2 linked regions of the Xenopus tropicalis genome follow. The protein of the gene in region 2 interacts with the protein of the main gene of each other region in a biochemical or structural test. Links are inferred from orthologs where the notes say so. Each region holds a gene or a part of one and is shown on either strand. Other genes may lie near its edges. The genes, in order: dedd2 and cflar.

The links.
Region 1: the proteins of cflar (region 2) and dedd2 form a complex in vitro, tested with the Homo sapiens proteins (2 studies listed by BioGRID). The link is inferred for Xenopus tropicalis from reciprocal best matches to the Homo sapiens genes CFLAR and DEDD2.

The regions. Positions count from the first base shown.
Region 1 is NC_030683.2:107,295,142-107,299,619, reverse strand, and holds the start of dedd2 (DNA-binding death effector domain-containing protein 2), read left to right. Parts: upstream 1-1,552; 5' UTR 1,553-1,720; intron 1,721-4,478. UniProt on the Homo sapiens protein: May play a critical role in death receptor-induced apoptosis and may target CASP8 and CASP10 to the nucleus. May regulate degradation of intermediate filaments during apoptosis.
Region 2 is NC_030685.2:54,009,041-54,013,511, forward strand, and holds the start of cflar (CASP8 and FADD-like apoptosis regulator), read right to left. Parts: upstream 2,896-4,471; 5' UTR 2,866-2,895; coding exon 2,737-2,865; intron 2,627-2,736; exon of another isoform or gene 2,318-2,626; intron 2,264-2,317; exon of another isoform or gene 2,015-2,263; coding exon of another isoform or gene 1,973-2,014; intron 1-1,972. UniProt on the Homo sapiens protein: Apoptosis regulator protein which may function as a crucial link between cell survival and cell death pathways in mammalian cells. Acts as an inhibitor of TNFRSF6 mediated apoptosis.

The sequences.
Region 1 (4,478 bases), on a different chromosome or scaffold from region 2:
TGGAGAAGCTCTACTAATGGATGCATTTGAAAAAAACATGTTTTCTCGTATGTCTATGAAGATTTTAATTCATCCAGGTCATGGTATATCTAGTATAAATAAATTTAAAGCAACTGGACTCGTAACAGTATTCATTTAGCTTAAACAAAGTTTTGGCAATAGTTACCTTACACTGATGGATAAACTCTCAAACCCTTTAGCTCTCCTTACTACAAGTACAAATGCCTAGTTCCAACACTGTGGCAATCAATGCAGAGGCTAAAATAAAGGAATACAAACATCTGAAAAGATGTTTTTCTGAAAACTTGTGGGTACCCAGGCCTTTATCAAAACAAAATCAAAGTCAAAAAGACCAGACCAAACAGAAGGGAGGAACATAGCAGTCACAGCATTCCTTATGTTGCTGGAACATCAGAAAAATAATTGAGCAACACCCTGAGACAGAAGTTGGTGACCCTAAAGATCCCACACGTAAACACATGAAGAGTAATGTGGTCTATGCTCCCAGTGTAGTGAGGAGTGCTCAAATCTATACCTTGGGGAAACAAAACAACCTCTCTGTAAGAGAATGGCACAACATAGGAGGGCAGATTTCTCAGAAGACAGATGGTGTGAAAAAAGCCGTTTATGCCAGAGTGGAAAACCATCCCTGTGAGTTTCAGCTAACACCTAACTGAATAAGTTCATTGGAACCATTCTAATTGGGTGTCTGTGACTGTACAGTATTACCCTCAAGGGTTTCAATGCTGGGGAATTCCCTAACACTCTCTTGAATTGAAGAAGCAACTTGGATGAGTGGTGAAACATTTTCAAGAAGCCTCAGAAACCCCAGTTGCTTTAGACTTAATTCATTTATCATCACCTGGATGAATGAGAATCTTCATAAATGTACCTAGTTCTTTGTTTTTGGCTGTATGCTTTGGACTAGCCATGGCCATAATGACATAAGACTTATGCCCACAATGTTCCTTAAAACGGCCAAAAATGGTGATTCCGAGATACCCTTGATAACAATGGCACACACCCTGAGATTAAGGAGCAAGCCCATCATAACAATGATTCTCAGTGGAGGACGTCATGGCATATTTCATTATATAAAGGGCAAAGCAAACATTATGCAACATGGGTTCAAAGTTACAAATCTAGTCACCATAGCAACCCATGGGCAGGCAGCAATTAAACAACAAACGTCTGATTGTTATCTATTAGTTGTTCTCCTAGTGTAAACTTTCAGCCTTTTATATGACATTTCTCTGAGTCATCTAAATACTAAACAAATACAAGCTAAGTCGATAGTTTAGTTTCATCTCCACGCTTGTTATTAGAACTCCATAGCAACCGTTAGTCACATTTGCGCAGTTTCACGGCGATGCAGCCATGTCACGCAATCTATAATGCGTATCTGTTCTCTATGAATAGCTCTTATGTAAAGCCCGTCGGCTGGCTCTGTGTGATTGGCTGGGCAGCCTTTAGGTAGTCACATGTATGCGGCAGGTTGAGGTGTGTGACAGCGCAGCACTCCCATCAGCCTCACAATTCTAGCGCATGCGTAGAACATGTTTTGGCTGAAAGGGGCGTAGGTTTTGTTGCTGTTTTGCGGGCAAGCGCAGTGGCAGGTTTTGGTGGAAGGTACCAGAATCGTTGACGAGTTCGTTTCGGTGAGTTGTTGGGCGACACGGCTGCACTTCGATATTGGCAGTTAAGGAGTTGTTTTCCCTTGGTGAGTATGAGAAGAAAATGAAGGTTTGTTGAAGCAGGAAGGGGTTGCTAAGTCTGTCAGCAAAAACAGCTGTTCCCAAGCTAATGGCGAGATATGCCTGTCAGTAGCTACAAAATGGCTGCCGAGAGTTGTTTGGTTCCTCCCTAGCTATTTTGGGGCAACTACTTTTCTGCAGGAGGAATCTATACCCTCCAGCTGTTGGTTGTCCTACCCATGGCTGCTTGCCCTCCGGCTGAACTACCCAGCAGCCTCTGCTAGCACACAAACTTATATTCTATTAGCAGTGTTTGGTGGGAGAACGTTTTGGTGGTGGAACTCTGGAAACTGGGTTTTAACGATATATTCGTTTTCTGTGGTTTTAAAGTTGTAGTAAAGGACTTAGTCTATGTAGATCCGTGACTGTCCGTATTCTTTGCACTATTGGCCCCTGAAACACTGGAGCAGAAGGCAGCTGATCGAGCTGAACTGAAACAATGTTAAACCATTGGAGATGTTTAGCTGTAAATGTAGTAGTCAAATGTTGTTTAGCAGTGACATTAATGGGGCTGCAAATTGTCAATCTATATTGATTCAATAATAATGCATTAATAATGTCCCCCTCTCACATTGGGGTACCATCCCTTCAGGTGTGTAGGAATAGACATTTGTATAGGTTAGGGAGTTTCAGGTGCTGTAAATTATTAAGCAAAAGTATGAGAGCAGGTTTGTTGACAGGTTCAGCCATAAACTGGCATTGAAGGAAAGAGATTGTTGCTGGCTCTAGGGTAAGAATATATTTTTGTCCACCAAGCCCCCAAAATTGAGTAGATCTCTGCAAAATCATATCCTATATTCATGTTTGGATATGAATAGCCTTCAGTCTACATCAGTGATCCCCAACCAGTGGTTCTTGAGCAATATGTTGCTCCCCAACCCCTTGGATGTTGCTCCCAGGGGCCTCAAACTAGGTGCTTATTTTTGAATTTCTGGTTAGGAGGCAAGTTTTAGTTGTATACAAAGCCAGTGTAAAGCTAAACCGAGTCTTATATAGGCTGCCAGTCCACATAGGGGCTACCAAATAGCCAATTATAGCTTTTATTTGCACCCCCAGGAACCTTTTTCATGCTTGTGTTGCTCCCTAACTCTTTTTCCATTTGAATGTGGCTCACGGGTATAAAAGGTTGGGGATCCCTGGTCTACATACAGCTACTTAATACATAGTAGTTAAACTTCATGTTGTGTATAGCTAAAATTATTGCCCTTACTATATCTTATATTCCCTATTATAATCAACTAGCCGTGACTTTAGATAGAATAATTATTTTTTAGATTTCACAATTTCCCTATGGCTTGCTTTGGCCTCAGTCTGTTCATTTTACCTTAACTTCCTGGAGTGCTGAATAAGGGCTGTTATTGGTTAGTTGGTAGCCCTTATATGTACTGACAGCCTACAGGAGGTTGTGGTTATCAGTACATGTGATTTTTTATGCAACCAAGTCAGGAATTCAAATTTGCTGCTCCCACAGGGAGCAACATCCAAGGGGTTGGTGACCAACATGTTGCTCGTGAGCCACTGGCTGGGCATCACTGTTTTAATGGAAGTCTTCCTCTGCAGTAACAAACTCTTGGCCTATACACTTGTTTTTACCCCTTTTTGTTTTTGTCTGTCTCCTTATCTATAACATTTTAAACTCTTTGGAGCAGGGACTTCATCCCAACTGTGTACTGAAACACTTAATCATAGAATTACTATACCCCACTTTGTTTGTCTTGTAAAGCACTGTGTACGTATGTGGTGCTGTAAAAATAGATGCAGTGGGTGGTGGCTGCTGAACTGTAGAATTCACTCTGTCCCCAGGGGGCTTCAACGAGAGAAAAGAATATTCTACCCAGATCTCTTACACAGTTTTTTAATAATTAAAATTTCACATGGGGCTAGCCATATTCTTCATTTCCCAGGGTGCCACAACCATGTGGTCTGTGCTCTGATTAACTTTCACACTTTACTGCTGAGCTGCAAGTTGGAGTGATATCACCCCCCCCCCCCCCAGCAACGATCAGCAGAACAATGGGAAGGGAGCAAGATAGCAGCTCCCAGTAGATATCAGAATAGCACTCAATAGTAAGAAATCCAAGTCCGGCTTGGGACTCCTTTAGTTACATGGGAGTGGGAGAAACAATAGGTTACATGAAAGCAGTTCTAATGTGTAGCGCTGGCTCCTTCTGAAAGCTTAGACTACGGCACAATGCACTGAGATGGCGCCTACACACCCATATTACAAAATATATATATATATATTCATTCAAGAATACAATTTTAAATGGTAGAGTGAATTATTTGCTATGTAAACAGTGTAATTTAGAAATAAAAAGTATACCATAAAAATCATGACAGTATCTCTTTAAGACAGGCTCGTTTAGCCAAGATCCTGAGGTCCCTAGGGGGAGGCAGCATTAGACCTTTTAGAAACTGTCTGATACAGTAGCATGTTCAGATGTTTATGACCTTGTTAAGAGGTAAGAAGAGCCTGGAATGAATAATGCACGCAAGCTGTTTATTGGCCTGTGCATAAACATAGGCAAAGTATTAGCCCCTACACACCAAACACCCTTTCCATGTGCCTGCACTTGGAGCCACTACGTCAGCCCAAGTTTAGGCATACAGAGTGAACATTTGGGCACATGGAAAGGCCATTCAGAGTGTAGGGACAGAGGTTTATCTGCAGGCCGAGAATCAGCCCAGGTGGTCATAGCCAGAAAACCAGTGCCCACAAACATA
Region 2 (4,471 bases):
AACTAGGCTAGTTATAAAAAAACAAAACCTAATCAACACTGTACATGGGGAAATTGCAAATCATTACCCTACATAAGCTTCCAGTCCTATCTACTGTATGAGACTTGTGGTTTTCACAATGCAGTCAAAGACGGCAGAACAGTAATACAATAAATGCCTCCCAGTTATGTACCAACAGCACACCAGCCCCCCTGAAATTTTTTTTATAGGGACCTGGCAAAAACAGCAGCCCCTACCTGGGCCCTCCCTCCACCTGCCCATGTCACCTGCTCACTCGTGGCAGTGTAGGTAAGAGAGCAGCTTGGGAGGAGGGATTTCTAACAACTATTGAGAAAGCAGACCCTGTGGTCTAGGCCTCTGTCCCCTGGACCCTGCAACATCTGCTTCCTCTGTTGTAACGTCACTGGTGCCTTTTTTAGCTCTATCCATTAAAGGACATTTAAAGCCTACATTTGCCTACGATATATATCAGTTAGGAATGTCTCCCCCACACAAATGGCATCATTTGTACTGCATATATCCCCTCCGTTTGCCAGCACCATCACATTTTTCTAAAGCAAATAGCAGCTATCACCCGGTGGCCATTTTTCCTCTGATACATTTAAATCTGCAAACAGCATACACACACAGACCCTTATTCAGCATACATTTCATCAAGAATACAGGCTCACACAGGCAGAACTGTCTGATAAAAGTTCTGCTTTGTTAGAGCTGAGCTCAGGAGAGAAAGTTAGGAGAAAAAAAATCGAAGCAGACAGCTAGAGCCGAGTTTCTATAAGAACCAGCAATGCCATCTCTTCACTGGCTGCTAGACTAGAGGGCGTGTTTCGTAATCTGAGCTTAGAACGACTGAGCATGCCCACAAGCCAGAAATCCAATATGCTTAGATTAGCCAAATGTGGCAATAGTGGGCCCCAAAATGCAAAGAATTTTCTTTGCTGCCAATTTAGCTTCTGCAACAAAGCACAGTGGTTTGTTGTTGCAGCTTTTATATGTGGTCTCTAGCCAAATTTTTTTTTGCCAGACTTACTTTGTGGATCACTGTAAACAATGATATTCTGAACCCATTTGTCATTGGTCATAAGCTCTAGTTTGACATTGTAGCAGGTATCTGGTTTGGTCAAACTTACCATGGCAGGCAGTGGTTTGAATGCAGGAATGGAATATGAATAGCAAAGGGCCTAAAGCGAAAGGCTATATAATAAAATAATTATTACACAAAATAAAAAAGTATCAATAAAATTGTAGTCTAACAAAGATATCGTTTTTTGCCTGCAGGTGTCTGTGAACCCCATTTTAAAACTTGTAAGAATCAGCCTGGGAGTTTGGAGCAGATGCACATGTTTTTTCCAGAAATTTATGGTTGCTTGGGTTAAACCTACAATTATTAGAATTTTGGGCCATGAAAACTTAAGAAAGCAGATTTCTTGAGTGGTGATTTGGAAAGTTTACTGCTAAGAGTTTTTGATATTAGCATGTTCAGGAGACGTGGCCTCCAAGAAAAAAAAATAAAAAATTATATCAAAACACACATAATTTTCCAAGGTAAAATGAATGTTCAAAAACTGTCTGGCAATACAAGTACCATACTAAGGTCTATTAGTCTTGGTAATGCGGTTTGTAAATGGATAGAAAATTACTGTATACAGAGGGTGGTTAATGGTACATTGTTTAACATGGCGTTCTTAGTGGACTGTTGAAAGGGATAAGAATGTAAGGCATGTCGAAACTCAACATTTCTTCTGAAATCAGTTAAATACATACACTTTGTATGGCCATGCCCTACCATTCATAGTGATAAAGAATACATTCTGTGTGTGCAGTTTCACCCACATATCATACATACATACATAAATCAGTTATATGAACCGTCCCTACAAGCCAGTAATCTTTCTATTTATTCATGCAAAAAAAGTCGGAAAAAATTATATTTATAGGTAAACTGAGCTTTGCCAATCTTTCTTCTGCCTACCTCCATGAAATGAACAGGAATAATTAAGAATAGTGCCCACATTTTCCACAGCGCTTTGCAAAGATTGATTATAGATCATTTCCATAAATCTTGGTCCCAGTGGAGCTTCCAATCTATGGTAACAATCACAAGCTTCCCATTAGTCCCCATTTCAAGACCTTGGTCCTTGGTAAACATCTCGATCCTACAGACCCTGCCAGAAAAACTCCCCTTGTAGTGAGTTATACAAGAAACAATGGATGTGGTTTAAATAAGGAGTGGCAGAAGGCAGTGAGTTTTTTAGTGTGTGCGTTATGCTATGCAAGTGAAACTAAAAACCCAGAGCTGCAAGACTGCGTTACTAACCAGTGCGACATGTTGCTGCCAACGTAAAGTGGAAAGGCTTTGACACAAACAAAGGCGCCTGAGTTCATGCCCGGGACTATATCATGCCACAGCTCATGTAAAGTCAGGTTATCGTTGCCACAGAACTTTGAGCAGAAGGCAACATCAAGCTTCCGTCTTCAGCAATAAGGAAGCATCGCAACAAGGCACACGTCACACAGATAGCAACCTACTCCTGTATAATGTAGACAGGTTAAGAGAATAAAGCTGAACGTTATAAACACCTCAGAATGTACAAGCAGAGCCCGCCACTATCACATATAACGATACAAGCGCTGCTTTGTTTGCGTCATGCGAAATAAAAGCAGAATGCTATTATATACCAGAAAGGCAAAGTCCATGACATGGCCCAAGAGGGAGGTGGGAAGGCGGATACCTACCGTAGAGACCACTGTGTTACTCGAAGTATCTGAAGCTCTTACGGAATCTGCTTTAAACTCTGTCATTAGTAATGCAAATTTCTTATACTTTGTATCCGGCACGGAAATTCCAGGCGCAACAGGGCGCATGCGCAGGAACACAACTAATTTCAATAGAACCGCCCCTTTCCCCGCCCTCTGTGACGTACCGTGACGCGTTCCGGCCTTTCTCTTTTTCTCCCGGTCGTCGAACTGCTCACAAGGGGGGAATATTTTGGACGTGGTGTCTGTGTGGTTCCCGTTATCCTCCGCCCCCAGTGTTCGGCCCGTTTCCTGCCTGATCTATATTCGGTAAGCATTTGCCAATTAGCCTATGTCGAAGGTGGCGTGTTCGTGCGCCTTGCGTGCTGCGCCCGGCCTGTGTTCCATACAAAGATAGGTAGGCCGCTGCGCCGAGGCATTCCTCCCTGTTGCTCGGCTGTTCAACCTGTGCCTTCTCATTTACCTAAGATACAGATTGTAATATCTTCTTAACTGAACATCTCGGATATATTTGTTTTTACCCCAATAATAGTAGTTCTACTGGAAGGGTAATGGCTTATCCTGGTCTCTTTGGGTGCCACCTAAGCCGTTGCTTACTGTCAGCCTTGCTGTCTGCGCCTTTTGGCTGCATTTCATATCTTGCCAGATGGGTTTAAAAATGCAACCATGTCTTTACAAAATATTAATTCCCCCTTCTAGGATCATCCAGGTGTTTCAGAATTACATGGATTAGACATTGGCACGTACAATAAGAAAGAAAAAGCATTAAACTCCAATAGATTTTCTGCCATGCCCATGATAAATGGAGATTTGTTAACTTAAAGCTGTTCCATGCTGATTTCCCTTTATAGTATGTTAGCTTTTACAATAGGCACAATCTAAAATAAAAATGAACACTGCAATAGGCACTGTAACATGCAAAAAATGCTATTGTTTTAGTAGAAGCCACCATTACATGCAGTGGGATAAGCAGGACTTACTCTGCAGCACAGTTCTTTTAAGGCCCTTTAAATAAAATTGTTTTATAGCTTTCCCCCAAACTTAAAACAACAATACTTTTTAATGTAAAACAGTCCCCATATATCATTTATTATTGCCTGAAGGATGGGCAGGGATAGACAGGTTGATTGTCAAGGGAACACCTGGGATGCTTTTCTCTGGCTATACACTGATAAGTATATGTATACGTAAATAGCTCTTCTAATGTTTCTACTTTTTTTTTTTTTATAGTCTTTCATTTATATATGCTCCCTGCAACTTTACCTGTTACCTTTGCAATCTTGGCCTGCTTGCCTGATGCAAAAAATGGCAGGGTACACTCCAAGGCTAAATCAAATTTAAAAGTACAATGCGAGATTTTTTTAGTTACAAAGTTATGATCATAAAATTAACAAGCTAGGTAAACCCCATGTGGCAGTCAAATTTTTCATAGGCTGGCCTGGCAACTCCCTGTATGTTTGAATTTTTTTGGGAAACCTAAACCTGGGCATTGACCTCACAGGCTTAATCCTACCCTGCTTGCATCTTTTAAAGAAAAGACTCGCATAGAGAAAAATATGGGCAGGCACTCCGATTCCCAGGAAGTAGTATATCAACAGCAGCAGTCAAATTAAATGTAAAAAAGTATATAAATTTATTTAATCCATATATAAAAGAAAAACAAGAAGCCTACACGTTTCGTACCAATAGGGTACTTAATCATAGGCAAAAAAGA